Linked DNA regions of Stegostoma tigrinum. The protein of the gene in region 3 purifies or fractionates together with the protein of the main gene of each other region. This does not show direct contact. Links are inferred from orthologs where the notes say so. Each region holds a gene or a part of one and is shown on either strand. Other genes may lie near its edges.

Region 1 (3,751 bases), on a different chromosome or scaffold from region 3:
TTAAACTTTCCCAGCTATCTGCCAAGCTTGGACCAGTATCTGCCCATTCACCACCATCACCTGCTCCACTCACAAGGGGGCAAGATTGCTGTCTAAAGGCCTCTATGGTATACAAAGGGGCTAGAACTTTGCAAATAACTCGTCGTGTTTGACATGAAATATAGATATCTTTAAATCAACCTGTTCAGGCACCTGGAGCAGGTGGGACTGTCTAATGATCTGAAGGTAGGGTTACACTTACTGCTGCTGTGGATGAAAGACCGCGTCCATTCACTGCTGCAATTACCTAGCGGAGGCTAATTTTGATTCATCAACCTCCGGTTTATGTGCGTGGCATGTTTTTGATGCTCGACTCTATTCCTACCATTACGCTGCTGTCATTTTGAACTGTACCTCAGAGTACTATGCAGACGCTGAAAGAAAACAAACTGCTCCTTATGTAATATTAGAATGGAAATGTTAACTTATTTTCCTTCAGAAATTCTAAGATTAATGCCTATGGGAGAATGATGAGGCGGAGGGAACATTATTCCTGAAAACAGGAGTTTCAGCAGAACAAGGATTATGTGCAGAAAGGCTCAATCACTGGTCATGACCATACAGCCTGATTTTTTGCTCCCACCTTTCATTTAAACATGGAACCACATTTCCTTTTACTAAAGTCTGACAGTATAATCGGAGAGTTACTTGAAGACATTTCTAGCGGAGTTATTTCTGTCTTTAGAGTCAGGCGGCTGCGCCGGACAAAGTGGGGGTCCTTCCTGAGTGAGTGTCGCGCGGTTGTCATGCAGTCGCGCTCCTTCGTCTGAGCGAGGTGGAGGCCGAGACAGAGCGGGATAAAACCCGGAGTCGAATGTAAGTCTAGCTGCTGTCTTCCCTCATCATCGAGGCTGCTACGGTTTGATAGAAACTTCCTCCTCGCCGTCTTCCAAAATGGCCCTCCGCCTCTCTCTCTCTCTCTCTCTTTCTCTCCCAACCACCAATCCCAGCATCCAGTAACACCGAGGGGCCTGGAACCTACATGTTGTAAATATTTTCCTTATCAACTTCCTTATCAGGGACGTTATTACACGGCTCTGGAGCAGCGGGGACTTGAAAGTGAGCCTCTTGCCTCAGAGGTTGTGACATTACCAATACACCACAGGAACCCCTAGTGATTAAGCAGTTCTGCACAAGCCATTATTACTTTAGATCATCATAGATCATCGAATCCTTATAGTATGGAAACAAGCCCTTCGACCCAACAAGTCCACACCGAGCCTCAGAGCATCCCACCCAGACCTGTAACCCACCTAACCTACACATCCCTGAACACTGGGCAATTTAGCATGGCCAATCCGCCCTAACCTGCACATCTTTGGACTGTGGGAGGAAACCAGAACACCAGAGGCAACCCAAGCAGACATGGGGAGAATGTACAAACTCCACACGGACAGTTGCCCAAGGATGGAAAGCTGTGAGGCAGCAGTGCTAACCACTGAGCCACTACAACTTTTGTGTTGCAGATGTCAGTCCTTCTCCAATCCCAGCACCCTTTCACACTAAACCCCTACCTTACTGAAGACAACTGTAGTATAATTCTTCAGTAATCCATGTCACATCATTCAGGATATGTACAAAATATAGATATTTTCTAATTAACTTATTCAGAGAAGTTACTACTCATCTCTGGAGTAGGTGAGATTTGAACCCAGGCCTTCCTGGGTAGGGAGACTCCCATTGCACCACAAGAGTCCCTGCCTCCCCTGTATAAACTACCCTGTTCAATGTTCGTGGGGAAAGAGGAACAAAAAAGGTCTTGATGAAGGCTTTGTATTTCTTTGCGAAATCCTTGCTTTATTTATCGAGGTCTACATTATAAAAGCCAAAGGAGTTATGGAAAACCTATCTAATTGGGCCATAGTGAAGGGGTTTTGTGTGCTTTCAGTTTGGAGCACTACACTTTAGAAGACCTTGAAAAGGATGTAGAAGAAACTCACCAATTTAGTTTTGAAGAAAAACAATGTGTTGAGGAAGCTGTGATAGCATCTCTGGGAAGAATAATTGTGTAATATGTAACTTTATTTGGTTCACAAAGAAAATTCATATCAGGCTTGAAATGTTAGCTTTCCTTCTTTTTGCATTGATACTGCCAAATCTGCTGAATTTCTCCAACACTTTTTCTGCTTTTATTTCAACCCTTCAAAGTCTGGCGTATTTTGCTTTTACACTGATGAAGGATGGATGTTAATTGGACACAAGAAACGGGGCTTATTTTCCTTAGAGCCCAGAAAATTAAGAGGAGATAATAAGAAACTGTTTTCAGAGGCAGAGGGTGAATGACCAAGGACATAGATATAATATTAGCAAAAAAGACTTGAGGAAACACATTTAAAAAGCAAGTTGTTGTGATCTGAAATATGAGTGTGCTGGAAGCAGACTCAATAATAACTTTAAAAATTAGATTGTAGAAACAAGGCTATGGGGCAAAATGGGATGATGAACATTCTACCAAAGAACCAGCACAAGCATGATGGGTGAAATAGTCTTTTTTATGTACTGTTTCAGTGCATGAAAGAAAGAATAATTTATATATATATCAGCAAGGCGGCTTAACCCGAGACTCTACAACTGTAGTGTCTCCCACCCGCCCTCCTCCTCTAACCTAGTTAATAAGGTAAGGTTCATTCTAAACTTTCTCTATTGAACATAAGTTTGTTATTAATTTGTTATTATTACTTGAAGTGAGCTTTCTGCTTTAGTATTGAGTGGGTGTTCAGATAAGTGGGGTATGGATGCTAGGGCAGTTGCTTGCTCCTCTGCAAAATGTGGCAGTTGGGAGATGTGGCACACGTCTCCGCTGGCTACATTTGCGGGAAGTGCACCCAGCTACAGCTCCTTGAAAACCGTGTTAGGGAAATGGAGCTGGAGCTGGATGAACTACGGATCATTCGGGAGGCAGAGGGGGTAATTGAGAGGAGTTATCGGGAGTTGGTCACTCCTAAGGCTCAGGACGAGGATAGATGGGTTACAGTTAGGGGGAGGAAAGGGGACAGACAGACAGTGCAGAGATCCCCTGTGGGCATTCCCCTCAGCAATAAGTATACCGTTTTGGATACTGCTGGGGGGGTTGACCTACCAGAGGAAAGCCATAGTAGTCAGTTCTCTCGCACTGAGCCTGACACTGTGGCAAAGAAGGGAAGGGGGCAGAATAGAAAAGTACTCGTGGTAGGGGACTCGATAGTTAGGGGAATCGACAGGAGATTTTGTGGGCAAGATCGGGATTCCCGGAAGGTATGTTGCCTCCCTGGTGCCAGGGTCCGGGACGTCTCCGATCGGGTGTATAAAGTTCTGAAAGGGGAGGGTGAACAGCCAGAAATCGTGTTACATATTGGCACAAATGATATAACCAGAAATAGGTTTGAGGATATAAAAAGTGATTTCAGGGAGTTAGGATGGAAGCTGCAGAGCAGGACGAACAGAGTAGTGTTCTCTGGTTTACTACCGGTGCCACGAGATAGCGAGGTGAGGAACAGGGAGCGGGCGCAGCTGAACACGTGGCTACGCAGCTGGTGTAGGAGGGAGGGCTTCAGATATGTTGATAATTGGGATGCCTTCTGGGGAAGGTGGGACCTGTACAAGAAGGACGGGTTGCATCTGAACTGGAAGGGGACCAATGTCCTGGGTGGAAGGTTTGCTCGAGTAGTTCGAGAGGGTTTAAACTAGTATGGCAGGGGGGTGGGAACCTGAGCTGTATACCAGAGGTGAGCGT
Region 2 (3,751 bases), on a different chromosome or scaffold from region 3:
AACTTTGCATGCGCATTTTGACACATTACATTAACTATTTCCAAACTTTATATCATTACCTGCATGGTTTTATGGAAAATTTACGCTTTCTTAGTCTCCCTGAACTGCTGTGATCTATACAGAACTGACCTTTCACTCACTTATGCAATTGAGAGTAATCAGTTTCCACGCATCCAGCTCGCAGTGTTATTTAATCAAACACATATCTGTCAGTCACAAACAGAAACAGAAAGTAGCGGTGAAACTCGGATGGTCTGGCAGCATCAATGGAAACTAAAACAAAAAGACCTTTCTTCAGAACTGATGACTCAGAACTCCAGACCTGCTGAGTTTCTCCAGCAATTTCTGTTTGTTTCAGCCCTGCAGTAACCGCAGTTCGTTGTTGTATATATTTGTCAGTTGCCTGTTCAAAAGCTACAAATATGATTCATTTATAGTCAGAGCCTAGCATTATATTTCCTGGCGATCACGTTAGCTACGTCTCGCCTGACATGCACTTACCGCCGACTGTCATCACTCACCTTCGCCCTCTGACACTCGAATACCCAACCCCTATCCCGTGCAGATAATGGAGTATCCCACTCGCGCATGGTGCACCGGGATTTGTAGTTATTTGTGCCGGGGAGTTCCGTTTGTTTCTAAAAGACTCTCACCGCGGAGAAAAACTACAACATGTCTACCACCACGGTCAAACGATGAAATGCCGGGCCAGCTTTACACATTTTAGTTCGCTCGACTGGATGAGCATGCAAAGGATGAAATAAACAAGTATCTTTTATGATAAAACAAACGTTAATCAAAAAAGGTCATGACGGCGACTAAAACCCACTAAAGGCTGTGAGGTTAAAGCCTGTAACAAGGATGGAAGAACCGTGGGTGGGCAGACGTCGAGGGACGCAGGCGGGTCGCGTAACAACGCCAGAAGCAGTGTCTTCAAAGGCAGGCCGGTAGATATGCGATGACATCAGACGCAAACGTTGCAAGGGTGAGTGACGTGACGTCAGACGCACGGTGGCGTTGACAGCAACTTTTGTAGAGAAAATGGCGCTGACGAGGTAGGTGCTTCTCTATGTTTGTGTTGGATAGTTTTAATTCCGTGGATATTCGGCCCCAAAACGTTTTCTTTCTTTTCCCTCTCATCTTGTTATAAACCGCGATTGCAGACGGATCTGTGCTTCCAGAATTTCCCTGGCGTCCAATAAAGCCCTTTTCGTAATTCCCCGACTAGGCCCAACAAAGCCTTGCTTTTACCTTTTGCGAATTCCTGGCTTGAAGAAATAAGCAGCATTGGGAGGAAAGTAGTTGAAAATATCATATTTGAAGTTACTTTTGTTCTTTGTATGATAGGACAGCATCAAAATTTAATGTGAAAGTGTTATTCAGTGCCTCGATTGATGAATGTTGGAGATTGGCTTGCTAAAGGTTTTTGTTGTGTTGTAATTTAGTCGCTTTAATACTTAGCAATTCTACACGTATGCATTATTTGTTTTTATACAAATGTTTTACTGGCTTATTCTTTATGTTTTGTTGTAAGATGAACCAATTATGAGATGTGTGATGTCTATAGTGTTACCACATAGTTGCTGCCATGGTAACAACCATCACCCAAACCAAAAAGTTAAATTTTTGTAGGTAATAAAAAAGAAATGCCAGAAAAGGTTATAGGGGAGTGAGATGAATTCAGTAGCTTTCATAGAGTTGGCAAATGCGTGATAGACTCACATTTAGTTTGAGTAAATGTGGTTCAAATACACAATCAACAGCAGACAGTGTTTCTTTTCTGATGAAGGGTCTAGGTCTGAAACGTCAGCTTTTGTGCTCCTAAGATGCTGCTTGGCCTGCTGTGCTCATCTAGCCCCACACTTTATCAGTGAACATAGTGTGTTTGAATTTCAATTTAAGTTTGAGAGTGAGAAATTTGAGTCCCACATCAGTGTTATGATGTAATTACATAGGCATTAGGACAGTTTTGGCCTAAATGTATTAGCCAAAAAGGCAAATAGGTGGGACAGTTGATGAGCAACGGCAGACATTGAAGGAGATGTTCAGTTTCTCCAAACTAAAATATAATCCAGTGAGGAAGAAATAATTTAAGTGGTGGGAGGTGAGAAGCATTTATAGGTAAGCAAGGACGTTAAAGAAATCATAAAGGCAAAAACTAAGGCTCACAGTATTGCAGAGGTAAGTGTCTAGTAGAGAATTGGATAACTTTTAAAGAGTATCAAAGGATTAGTAAAAAAGTAATAAAAAGAGCAAAGTCAAATTATGAAAGAAAACTAGCACAAAATATAAATAGTGGAGAGCAAAGCTGTTTAAAAGTATATAAAAACTAAAGTGAGTTGTTAAAGTGAATGTTGGTCACTTAAGAGGTCGAGATTGAGAAGTTTATAATGGGGTAACACAAAAATGGCAGTGGCACTAAATCAATATTTTACCTCAGTTTCATTGTAGAGGATACTGAAACCATCCTAATAGTAACAAATGAACAGATTATAGGAAAGGAGAAACTCAACATTCCTGTTCACTAGAGAAAGAGTACTGAGCAAACTATTGGGATTTAATGCAAACAAGTCTATAGGGCCCAATAGCCTATATCATAGGATCTTCGAGGGAGTGGTAGCCACAATAGTGGATGCGTTGGTTATAATATTCCAAAATTCCATGGATTCTGGAAAGTTCCACAGGATTGAAAAATTCGAATGTAATACCCTTTAGCAAAAAAGCGAGACAGAAAGTAGAGAATTATTGATCAGTTAGTTTGATATCTGTCATAAAGTTGATGGAATCCAATATTAATGAAGTAGTAACAGGACATTTGGAAAGTCAAAACCCAATCCATCTGAATCTAAATGGTTATATGAAAGTCAAATCATATTTAACCAATTTGCCAGACTTCTTTGAAGATGTAACCAGCAAAGTGGATAATGGGAGTCCATAGATGTAATTCTGAATTTCCAGACGGCAGTTGATAGGGTGACACAGTGGTTCAGTGGTTAGCACCACTCCTTCATGCCCCAGGAACCCAGTTTCAATTCTACCCTCAAGTGACTGTGTGGAATCTGCACATTCAGATGGCATGTTGGCTCAGTGATCAGTACTGCTGCCTTAGAGTGCCAGGGACCCAGGTTCGATTCCAACCTCTGGAAACTGTCTATGTGGAGTTTGCATGTTCTTCCCATTTCTGGATGGGTTTTCTTCGGGTGTTCTAGTTTCTTCCCAGGAATGTGCAGGTTCGGTGGATTGGCCATGCTAAATTGCCCTGTTGTTTCTAGGAGTGTGTACGCAAGTTGGGTTGGCCATGGGCAATGCAGGGCCTACAGGAAGGGAGTTGGATCTGAGTGCGATGCTTTTCAGAGGGATGGTGTGGACTCAATGGGCTGAAAGGCCTGCACCCATGCAGTAGTGACTCTGATTCATTATTGCACAAAGTGAGATCACAGATTTAGGGGTAATATATGAGGATTGAGGCTAACAAAGAGAAAGCAGAGAGATGGTATAACCAGATCTTTTTCTGGTTGGCAGTCTGTAACTTATAGGGTTTAGCCCAACTATTTAGAAACTATTTTAATGACATGGATGCAGGGATAGAATGTATTGCAGCCAAATTTGCCAATGTCACTAAAATGGGTGGGGCAGTATGTAACAATGAGAAAAAAAATAAGAAATTTACAAATAGATATGGATAGTCAAGGTGAAAGGGCTAACATTTGCTAGATAGAGTTTAAAATGGATACATATGAGGTTTTCCATT
Region 3 (3,751 bases):
AGATCTAACTTTGAACTAACACTCATCCTAAGATTTATAACCATGTATAGTGAACACCAAACCCAATCATCTTAAAGTTCAGAATTTATTTTTCCAGATTGCTTCCCTGTATCATCAAGTAGCAGCCTTAATTGCTATTAAGGCTAGTAATGAATTTTGATTAGTGCCAGAGGAAACATCAGAATGCAAGATATGATACCCACTCCTTTATTCTTCTAACATCTTGAACTTGAAATTCAGCAGCAATTCTACCTTAAATTCAACTCATTGATCTCTGCATAGAAACACTGTGTCATTTCCTTTATTTATACAGTTGCTACATACTAATGTACAAAGCATGCATAGTTACTACTTTAGATTTCCAAACTAATGTGACACAAATAGTAGGTCAATCAGTCTATGCAGTTTATAACTTAGCAGCCTTCCAGTTATCTCTTTTAATGCCAATTCCCGACACTTTACTCGTATAGTTTTCACCACATTTGATCCCTATCTCATGAGAAATTCCTGCTCTTATTCCTATCTTTTATTTATTTTGCTCTAAGAGATCCATAAGATGTCTGAGATTTTTCTATCATTTAATAAGGCTGGCTGAGCTTTGACTTTGATTTCCTTTCTCTCTCATTCTTTTTGATTCCTTTAACAACCAAAACATCCAATAGTGATGGCAGATAACCCAGAGCACTCTGGGCTAAAGAATTCCAAAGATTCATAACCTTCTGAACAACGGCATTTCCCCACATCTCAGTCCTAAATGTCTCATTCCTTCTCCAGAGACAGCAATCCCTAATTCTAGATTATCCTGCTGGGGAAACAATCTGTCAGCGTCTATCCTTTCAAGCTGTCTCAGGAACTCACATTTCAACAAGTTCATCTCTAATTCTGATAACTTTACCCAATAAGGGAGGAAAAAGCTATTATTTGATGTTGAACAACATCTGACTTAGTAGTAATTATATAAAGGTAAAGTTGCCATGACCTCAGAGGACCCTAATGCTGCTGTCTCATTAGAGATGATTGGTGGAGTTTAACCTGAAGCTCATGACACCTCAGACGAGGAGCGAGATTGAGAAGGTGGGACCCTCATAGTAATTTACGAGAATTGAACCCAAGCTGTTGCATGATAAAGCAGCTGTCTAACCAACTGAACTAACCAATCCCCATGGTAGATATAAGAGTACAGGCTATCATTAGTGTACTATGAAAGGTAACCCATTCCTGCGGATGATATGAGGGGAAGCACGTTGAAGAAGAGAGGAGCAAAGGATAGACTCTCAAGCACAGCTATCTGCAAACAGAGTGCTTCAAATGTCATTATTGATGCTTGCAGATAAGATATGCCCAGTAACTGATATCTCCAACCAGACACTAATCAATAATGACAATGACCATATCTTCCCCCCCCCCCCCCCCCCCGCAGTAATCCAGCAGCAGCTTTGTCGATGATGCATAGGCAGTCAGTGGCATTGGGTTAGTAATGTGCCAGCAGCTCTGTCAGCAATCTCCCTGCTTCTCCAGCAGAGGCGCTCACTCTCGGGGGTTTACGGTAGGCCGGTGCTGACCCCACACTGAGTCTGCGCGGCGCGGAGCCGAGCCGAGCCGAGCCTCGAGGAGCCGGGTCGATCGGTGCAGGGTGACGGAGCCCGAATCGAAGCGGAGCCCGAGGCCGGAGCTGAGCCCGAGTCCCCGCCATCGTCCTCACCATGAGCGACATCAACGTGAAGAAACTGAAGGTGCCCGAGCTCAAGGATGAGCTGAAGCGGCGCGGCTTGAGTGTGCAGGGCCTGAAAGCCGAGCTCCAGGAGCGGCTGCAGGCCGCACTCGACAGCGAGGCCGAGGAGGAGATGATGGAAGAGGAGGAGGAGGAGGAAGACGGGGGGCCCGGGCCGCTGGAGACCCCCGAGAACGGCGAGGAGGAGCTGGAAGACGAGACGGCAGGCGGCGAGGAGGAGGAGGAGGAGGAGCCGCCGCAGTTGGCGGGAGGAGACAAAGCCGAGGCCCAGGCGCGGGGCCCGGGACTGAACGGCGCTTCCCTGGCCGCTGGGCTGGAACCGCCGGCGGCCGTAGTGAGCCAAGTCCAGGCGGAGGAGGAGGAATCTCAAGGAGAGGCCGAAGTCCTGGTCCGAGCCGCGGGAGGGGGAATGGACGACGAGGAGGAGGAGGAGGAGGAGGTCGAGAGCAAAACAGGCGAGAGCGGCCTGGGCGACGAGGAGGAGGAGGAAAACGGGATGGGAGAGGCGGAGGGAGCGGTACCGGAGCCGGCCCGGGTCCAAGAGCAAACCCAAGTCCAGGCTGAGGCGCAGCAAAGAGCGGGAGAAGAGGAAACAATGGAGCTGGGGGACGGCGAGGCGCGGGCTGGTGGCAAACAGGAACCTGAGGCCGCTTCGGTCCCGGCTCCCGCCCCTCAACACTCCAGCAAAGGTGGGGGAACCCGCCTCCCTTCGCCCGGGGGCGGGGAACCTGGGCTTTTTATTTCTCATTCATCCGTTTTATTTCACAAAAAAAAACTAAAACATCAACGAGCCTCAGAACCCATCACTTCCGGCGCCTCCATTGGGCTCCGGCTGCTGGGCGCGCGTGTTAGACCGTGCCCAGGGGGTGGGGGGGTGGTGGAGGAGGAGCTGCTTCAGCCTGAGTCCCAGTCTCTTATCAGAGAGAGACTGGATTTAAAATGGGAGAGTGGATTGGAGGCGGGGGTGGGTGGTGGTGTGGGATGAGGATACAGGATGGCTGAAGGAAGCCACTGAGAAAATGGAGGGTGGAAATAATGCAAACCAAAATGGAGTAGCTCAAGGAATTAGGAAAAGGTTGTAGGGGGAGGGGAAGTGGGAATAGAAACAACTTTGCACCTTCTCTTTTATTTTGCTTTGCATTTGCTGTTCGATGTTTTAGATTAGAAAATCACTTCCAGCACTGTCAGGCCAGATAAGCCACATGCTTTTATCATTTTCTGAAGAAGGGCCTAGGCCCAAAACGTCAGCCTTCCTGGTCCTCTGCTGTGTTCATCCAGCTCTACACCTTGTTATTGCAGATTCTTCAGTATCTGCAGTTCCTACTATCTTTTATATCAGAGCATTTTGATGAAAAGTAGGCCGTCAGGTTGGAGTGGGGATTTAGCTAAAACATAAGGTCAGGGCACCTTTAGGGTACAGTAACTTGGCTGTGTCTCTGAAGAAGTGCAGGGAAGGGCTGGAGTTGCATGTATAGCTTGCATCTGTGAATGTTTGGTCAGTTTGAAGTTGAAGCTTCATCCCATCCTGGATTTCATCCAAAAAGTTTTGGAGGAGTTGAGTGGGTTAAAGTTGATTATGAAGTAACTGCATGTGTGAAATGTGGTCTTAATTCTGTGGTTAAATGGAGATCACTTTTAGGTTTAGGGCTAGTAATGGATTCTTAAACCTCCCAGAAAAACTATGGGACCGGGTGGATAAAACAGTGGGAATGGTTTAGAAAAGCTTGCAGCCAAGCACATATAGCCCCAATGTGTGGGAAGGCTTTGACAAAAACTGTGGGTTGCAAATGATGAAATTGGCTAATGCATTGTATGTGCAAGGCTGCGTTTACTCTGTAGCTTGGATGGTAGCTTGATATCGGGTCATGGGAGAAATTAAGTTTATTTTAGAAAACGACAATGTCTTTGACAACATGGAAGGCAAACAGTCTGGAGGTATGTTGCTTGTGAGTGTGGGTCCTTGAGTCAGAGAAGAATTTTTTGTGTTGGCAATATTTTTATACAAGGTAAGCGTTTAGA

Evidence for each region.
Region 1: the proteins of hnrnpua (region 3) and eftud2 fractionate together in Homo sapiens (co-fractionation; 3 studies listed by BioGRID, with this or other methods). This does not show direct contact. The link is inferred for Stegostoma tigrinum from reciprocal best matches to the Homo sapiens genes HNRNPU and EFTUD2.
Region 2: the proteins of hnrnpua (region 3) and snw1 purify together in Homo sapiens (affinity purification with mass spectrometry; 3 studies listed by BioGRID and IntAct, with this or other methods). This does not show direct contact. The link is inferred for Stegostoma tigrinum from reciprocal best matches to the Homo sapiens genes HNRNPU and SNW1.

The regions. Positions count from the first base shown.
Region 1 is NC_081384.1:27,965,023-27,968,773, forward strand, and holds the start of eftud2 (116 kDa U5 small nuclear ribonucleoprotein component), read left to right. Parts: upstream 1-733; 5' UTR 734-855; intron 856-3,751. UniProt on the Homo sapiens protein: Required for pre-mRNA splicing as component of the spliceosome, including pre-catalytic, catalytic and post-catalytic spliceosomal complexes. Component of the U5 snRNP and the U4/U6-U5 tri-snRNP complex, a building block of the spliceosome.
Region 2 is NC_081363.1:13,496,661-13,500,411, forward strand, and holds the start of snw1 (SNW domain-containing protein 1), read left to right. Parts: upstream 1-944; 5' UTR 945-1,041; coding exon 1,042-1,055; intron 1,056-3,751. Other genes in the region: adck1 (aarF domain-containing protein kinase 1), read right to left, coding at 502-514. UniProt on the Homo sapiens protein: Involved in pre-mRNA splicing as component of the spliceosome. As a component of the minor spliceosome, involved in the splicing of U12-type introns in pre-mRNAs.
Region 3 is NC_081362.1:86,365,019-86,368,769, forward strand, and holds the start of hnrnpua (heterogeneous nuclear ribonucleoprotein U), read left to right. Parts: upstream 1-1,549; 5' UTR 1,550-1,703; coding exon 1,704-2,421; intron 2,422-3,751. UniProt on the Homo sapiens protein: DNA- and RNA-binding protein involved in several cellular processes such as nuclear chromatin organization, telomere-length regulation, transcription, mRNA alternative splicing and stability, Xist-mediated transcriptional silencing and mitotic cell progression.